Xenopus tropicalis: one gene and its partner. The protein of the gene in region 1 interacts with the protein of each later gene in a pairwise test. Links are inferred from orthologs where the notes say so. Each region holds a gene or a part of one and is shown on either strand. Other genes may lie near its edges.

Region 1 (3,709 bases):
TAGACGAGGCTTAAAAGATACAGGAAAATAGTGTTACAGGACTGACATCCAACCTGGGGCCCTCCTGCTCTTGATAAACTACAGCATTCTCGTCACAGCCTAAGGCTAAAGGCTGATGATTGCAGTTCAGCAACCCCTAGACGCCCATAGTTTAGATTTTTCTATGTCGAAATATGCACATATAATGGATAGGACACGGTCCGGGCCATTAACTTTGACTCTAGATTGTATAATTTGGATAGGTATACTGTTTCACAAAGCCATCCTTTCATTTCTCCAGAAACCAAATGCCCTTAAAACAATTGTTTGTGAAGTGACTCTAAAAGAAAGAACAGCAGTTTCTCAAATTCGCCAGGACCCAGTTATTGGATACACCGTGGTTAATGAAGCTAGTTTGTCATTTTTGCTCTGTGATTAGGTATAGATTTCCTGGTAATTTATTTTCTTTAAACGCTTGCCAATGTTATCTTCCCTAAACAGACAAAACAGAAGGGGGGGGAGAGGTTTAAAAGCATTGCAAGCCTAGACAGACTAATTAAACACTGGAATAATAACTTTTGAAAAGTTGTCTTGTTTAAAGCCCCAAGCCTGGAAGAAAAAATAAGGTCAAACATATGTCACGAATTACTCATTTGTCATTCATGTCTTATAATTATTGAATAACCATTCATCCCAATCAGAATATCTCATAAGACTTAATTAGGAATGGTAAGCAGGTCATCTCCAATTATGACTTCGCTTTCACTTATTCCACTGACCACTTGTCTGATTAGTGAGTTAATATAGTTGCACTTATCTCTCGCCATCATCTAATAGCAGGATAAAGCTACTCCACTTTATATATATAAATATATATATGATAAGCATCGAAATCACCAATGAACTGGAACATATAATACATATTTCAGTTATGTTTATATTCAGTGTGATATACTATGTTCATTTCTTATGCTACTGATATGCAAGTATCACGTATATTGTATTTCTTTTACTAGAATTTGCCATTTTAAATGGAAATGGAAAAGAGGATTTTAGTGTTCATGTCTGTTTGGGGTATTTCAGGTATGACGGAAGGTGTCTGTTATGAATCATTTGACTTTTTCAGTTCTAGATATTGATTGGTAGTTATTCATATCACTATTGATATGCAGCGGATTAAAAATGTATATATTATTATGGTCTGCCAGAGATTCTGATCAGTGAAAGTGATGTAATAGGCTCAAAAGAACTGATTTCACTGAAGTGGCTTATGTGACTGAATTAAAGCAAATATTACCCATCACTTTGCACTTTGTTAATTAAACTCTTAATTTGATGCAGACTGTGTATATGGCTTTCCCAGAGGAGGTGTTAGCTGATAATATAATTAACACCTTTCTGCAGTTGCTGGGACGGGCAAAAAAGGCTGCCCTCCCTGGGATGAAATCTCTCTATTTTATTCCTGCAGGAAGGGGGAATGGGCAGTCTAAATGTGCCAATTGTCTTTTTATCTGCCATAAAATTGCATTTGTAATAGTTTGGCTGCTGAGAGAAACAGGAGTCAACAAGTGATCTCCATTTCTTGTTATAATACTGCAGTGATACTGGATCAGGCTGAATAAGGATGGAGTGCAGCACGGGTTTCTGAAGGATTGTGTCAATAAATAGATTGTAATTTCAAATGAAAAAATGATACTTGGATTCAATCTTGCTTATTAAAGGAATTTGATATTCTTTTGACACTGACAGGATTGTTACATAGGAATACACCAGGAAAGACTTGAAAAGAGGGAACTATTTCTGCCCGTTCGTATTGTAATGTAATATACAAGTATTTCCTGTTTAAATAGAAACTTTTTACTTATAATATGTCTTGCATAGCGTTTATAACATTCCTATAGTGTTAGCAAGCTGCACATGTCTGAAATATTGTATACATGCTAGTTAGCAAGTGTCTAACTAGTACTTTTTACACTGCTAAATGCATTTGCCAGTGAGTACGAACACAAAGCTTTGAGCAACAGAAAAACCCCTCTCTGCTCAATTTGAACTGTCAGAAGAAGCTGCCGTATGCATGGATGCTAATGGCATATCCTAGGCATACAGTTGCTTAGGTTTGCACCACTGCTGTGCCACTTTCTGCAATGCAGTGCTAATCCAATACAAGGCATCACAATTACCAGCTAATATATATTTCCTTTTTGCTGCATGCTCAGACATTGTAAACACAAATATCCTTACCTGAACTGTCACTTTTTCTTTTGCCAGTCCTCTTTTCTGCTTCTGCCGGGGAGAGGGTCTGTCTGCCATAGTCCCCTGTCACACAAGCTGCACCCGTTGAGCTGTTAGTGCCCAGGCTGGATGTGTTTGAACACAAAATAGAGGGGCTGCCACTTAGATCTGGAGGTCCAGATTCCTGCTGAAGGCAAAGGCTATGTCTGGTGGAGGCAGGAGGAGATGACATCTGAGGAATGTGCCAATTTGATTGCAAGGTCTGGTGCTGTTGTTGCTGGTGATGATGATGATGGTGATGATGGTGATGATGTCCTCTGTGATGCTGGCTCCCAAACATGCCCTCCTCATTGGGATAGCCAGTTAATATGCAAGAGGACGAAGAAGAGGATAAATCAGGATAGGACATGTGGTCGGATCTTCCATGGAGGGCAAGAGAAGACTGGGCAAAGGGGTGTAAGCCCTGAGAGGTGGCATGGGGGCTGCGCAGGCAGCCAAACAGTGTGTGTTCCATGGCATACAAGTTTCAAGTTGCAGGCTTGAGATTCTGGCAGGATTAAACTCCACAACGCTGTCACTTTTCACTGTAAAATGATATTTTTCCCAAACAGTAACGGCACACTTTCAGTACAGATCAGATAATCCAGGTCTTCAGCCTGGTGGCCAGTCTCCTGTGCTTAAACAGTTTGCTCTGACCAAGATGAGCTTTTGCAGAGCTGCTCAGATGTCAAGAGTAGGAGAGGTTAAAGCCAACAGAAGGTGGTCCCAAGGAGCTGCTTTAATGGGGGAACAGCTAAGAGAGGATATAAATAGTGTGTAATGTGAGCTGGGGGCTGGCTTAGCAACACAGTACTGACCACAAACTCTCTCCAAAACTTTAGCACTCACAGATCCTTCCAAGTTGCGACAGCATCACTGCACTGTCTATGTACAACTTAAACCGGTTCTGCCCATTGCTAATATGGATATAGAGAAACTGCACGCAGGTCTTAGTAATTCATATACTGACACAATGACAAAAAGCTCATTCTACCGTAAGAAATCAATTGGAAAGTATTGTGCCATGCCAAGCAATACATGCCATTTTATTTCTTTTTTAGTGTTCTGTGTAGTGAATGTGATACAATATAAATAGCTTTAACTAAGGCACCATTAACCTACTGTTACTGAATCTATAACTCCCAGAATCCCCTGCCAGCTGCACTAGGTTATAACTTTTTACCAACATAGGACATATATGTGCAGTTTTATACAGCGGGAAGTAAGCAGTATACATTGTTCTCTTTTGGCGAGAGTAACGCAGAACCTGAGTAATGTTCTCCTCAAATTGTTTTCAGAAATAGGAAGATGTAACATCCTCTTAGTAAATAGGAAACATGTGTGTTTTCCCAACTAAAAGTCACACCTGTGTTTTTCAGATGTTTGTCCCTAAAATCTGCTCCAGGTACTGCTTACTGCACAGTAACACAATATTGTTCTATTCATCAGCATAAATACT
Region 2 (3,755 bases), on another chromosome or scaffold:
ATACACTCCCCCGTGCAAAGGAAGCAGAGACAGTCACACGGGTACCGGGAAATACACTCCCCCGTGCAAAGGAAGCAGAGACAGTCACACGGGTACCGGGAAATACACTCCCCCGTGCAAAGGAAGCAGAGACAGTCACACGGGTACCGGGAAATACACTCCCCCGTGCAAAGGAAGCAGAGACAGTCACACGGGTACCGGGAAATACACTCCCCGTGCACAGGAAGCAGAGACAGTCCACACGGGTACCGGGAAATACACTCCCCCGTGCAAAGGAAGCATAGACAGTCACACGGGTACCGGGAAATACACTCCCCCGTGCAAAGGAAGCAGAGACAGTCACACGGGTACGGGAAATACACTCCCCGTGCAAAGGAAGCAGAGACAGTCACACGGGTACCGGGAAATACACTCCCCCGTGCAAAGGAAGCAGAGACAGTCACACGGGTACCGGGAAATACACTCCCCCGTGCAAAGGAAGCAGAGACAGTCACACGGGTACCGGGAAATACACTCCCCCGTGCAAAGGAAGCAGAGACAGTCACACGGGTATTGGGAAATACACTCCCCCGTGCAAAGGAAGCAGAGACAGTCACACGGGTACCGGGAAATACACTCCCCCGTGCAAGGAAGCAGAGACAGTCACACGGTACGGGAATACCCCCGGGGGGGGAAATACACTCCCCCGTGCAAAGGAAGCAGAGACAGTCACACGGGGTACCGGGAAATACACTCCCCCGTGCAAAGGAAGCAGAGACAGTCACACGGGTACCGGGAAATACACTCCCCCGTGCAAAGGAAGCAGAGACAGTCACATGGGTACCGGGAAATACACTCCCCCGTGCAAAGGAAGCAGAGACAGTCACACGGGTACCGGGAAATACACTCCCCCGTGCAAAGGAAGCAGAGACAGTCACAGGGTTACCGGGAGATACACTCCCACAATCCTTTACTTCCCAAAGCACACTTTTATTTATAATATAACACAATAAACCTTAAACATTTGAATTTTGTATATTTTAAACCAAGGTATTCAGTAATCTGCCCTTCCTACTAGGGAGCTTTTACACAGATTTCCCATAAGTATTCGGACACTACAGTGGTTCTGCTTGATTCCCAGCCCCACAGGGGCAGCACGGCGCTACTATTGCCTACAGATTATGAGCAACTGCGGTCACGTGCGTTCCAAGCCTCGATGTCGCCAACAATTTCTCTCTCAGGGCCTGGATGCGAAAGCGAGGCTTGGAATACAGGCTTCCCAGGCGGCCAATCAGCTTGCAGCAGTCGTGGTATGTGGGTGTGAGGGAGGGGAGTGCCTGGGAGGCAGCGGGAGCTCGATCCTGACAGGGAACCGCGGACACGGGAGGGAGAAGCCTCGGTTACCGGGACGGAAGGTACGTGCGTTTGGTCACGGAGTGTGGGAGATATGGGGGAGCCCCGGGTGTAATGGCGGATGGATATAGCTGTGTATGTAGTCCCGCTGTGTGCGCTGCCCTGGATGTGGGTTAGTGTCAGAGGTGCAAGGGTTATACGTTATAGGCGGGGGCGGGGCTATATGTTGGGGTAAGAGGGTAAGTATTGGGGTACGGGGTAAGTATTGGGGTACAGGGTAAGAGGTGACTGGGAGAATTAGTTATATATATTTGATATGTGTGTGTGTAATATAAATATATATATATATCACAGGGTTATACTGTTTGTGTTATAGGGGCTGCTGGGAGTTGTATTGTGAGGGAGGGGGGCTGTATATGTAGTTTGGGGGGGCAGGAAGGTAGGCACTAAGTATTATAAATGGGGTGACCTGGACTTGTGTCGGGGGGCCCCTTCTGCACTTTTTCATCATGGAACGGTAACCCCCGAAACCGCTTTCACTTTCCGTCATGTTTGTACTTCAGAGCAAATCTTTCCCTTTATAATGGACTGCTCCTTACCTGTAAACCTAAGACTATCAGCCTGGGGGGGGGTGTTGTTCATATAGAGCTCACTATCAGCGCTCTTGTGATTGCAGAGAGGAGGCGGGGGTAGGAGTGTCACATTTGCCCCTATAGCCCGGGTGCTGGCACCTATATCAGGGGCGCTGCCAATGCTGGGGTAGTGTAATTACTTACCCCCCCAGAGAAGGGGCGGAGGGGGGGGGAGAGACGTTTCCGTGCGGTTCTGGCACGCCTTTACTCTCACTTCCATAAAATGTTTTTCTTTTATCTAATTGGCTCTCTTTGAACTACATCTCCCAGCATGCAACTGTAGCTGAACTTCAACTCCCAGCATGCAAGCTGCTCCCGTCTTGGGGGGGGCTAATGATGTTTACATTGCCGGTGAGTGGGCTAATGAGTGCTAGGGGTGGGCTACGGAATTCGGGCATTCCCCGAGTGGGACTTGGCCACCTCTGTGTGACGGAGCCTCGGGGAGAATCCCCACTCCCAGCAACGCTGTAAATTGTGATTCATGTTAAATAGCAACCGCTCTCTCCCCGGCTGTGACGCAATCGCCTTGGTATGTAATACAGAGTGTTCCCTCTGCCTGACCCCCACCGTGCACAGTAAGGATCGCTCAGCTACCCCCATGCTGTCAGATAGTAGAATTGATGGTATTGGTGGAAACTGGGGGGCCCTAAATGGGATTTAACGTTGGCACCCACGGTTGCCATACGACCCGGCAGATATTCGGTCTTCGTTTTTCATTCCTAGTAGTTTTCAATTTTTGTTCAGCAGTTTGGCGTTTCATCAGCTATCTGGTTGCTAGGGTCCAAATGACCTTAGCAACAGGAGGGCGGTTGGGATGAGAGACGGGAATATGAACAGGGGAGGGGCTGAACAGAAAGATAAGGAATAAAAAGTAACAATAACAATAAAACTGTAGCCTCACAGAGCAATAGGGTTTGGCTGCCGGGGTCAGTGACCCCCCCATTTGAATGAGTTAGAAGAGGAAGGCAAATAATTAATGAAGACCAATTGAAAAGTTGCGTAGAATTGGCCATTCTGTGACAAACTAAACATTAACACAAAGTTGAACCACCCCATTAAATTTCAGTTGGTCTTCATTTTTTTTTATTTATCATTTTTAATGTATTAGCCTTCCTCTTCTGACTCTTTCTGGCTTTAAAAAGGTGGGGGTCACTAACGCCCCCCCCCTTCTACAATGACCCAGTGGGGCACCTAGCAGTACAGGGAGACGCCTATGATACACGCGTGTGCAAATCAACAGGACAAGGTTTCCAAGAGGAACTGAAAGACTGAACCTCCGGGACTTCCTGCAGGTATGAGCTCATATACAGAGGTTCTGCTTGGTTCCATATAGCGCTGGTTCTGCTACTGGGCATTGGGCTTTATAGTGCAGTCCGTATGGTTTCGGGCCGGATGCAGGCTCGTTATATATACATATTTGACCCAATGCAGTAGAGGCGGGCTTACACGGGCAGATTTCAGCTGCCAATTCGGATCCTTTATACTAATTGGTCAACTTATCTGCCCATCTATGGGCACCCCTGATTGGCCTTCCTGGCCTAAAATTGGGCAGCTTTGGTATCAGGGGCCACACTGGCTCGTTGATGTGTTCCTCAGTCCAACATGTACCCGTTAATCATTTGGCCCGCCCAAGGTCCGCTCAATGTATGAGGCCATGACCAATCAGATTGGACATGTATGGGGCCCCCAACGGGCCTCCCTGACACATATCTGGCCTCAAATTGGGCAGCTCTCCATTGGGCAGCTTTGATATCAGGGCCCTCATTGGCTCATTGATGTGTTCCTCAGTCC

The links. The genes of interacting proteins can lie anywhere in the genome.
Region 2: the proteins of meox2 (region 1) and pacsin2 interact in binary tests that used the Homo sapiens proteins (3 or more experiments, as listed by UniProt). The two-hybrid records come from large-scale screens. The link is inferred for Xenopus tropicalis from reciprocal best matches to the Homo sapiens genes MEOX2 and PACSIN2.

The regions. Positions count from the first base shown.
Region 1 is NC_030682.2:36,891,014-36,894,722, forward strand, and holds the start of meox2 (homeobox protein MOX-2), read right to left. Parts: upstream 2,876-3,709; 5' UTR 2,726-2,875; coding exon 2,221-2,725; intron 1-2,220. UniProt on the Homo sapiens protein: Mesodermal transcription factor that plays a key role in somitogenesis and somitogenesis and limb muscle differentiation. Required during limb development for normal appendicular muscle formation and for the normal regulation of myogenic genes.
Region 2 is NC_030679.2:3,829,148-3,832,902, forward strand, and holds the start of pacsin2 (protein kinase C and casein kinase substrate in neurons protein 2), read left to right. Parts: upstream 1-1,352; 5' UTR 1,353-1,394; intron 1,395-3,755.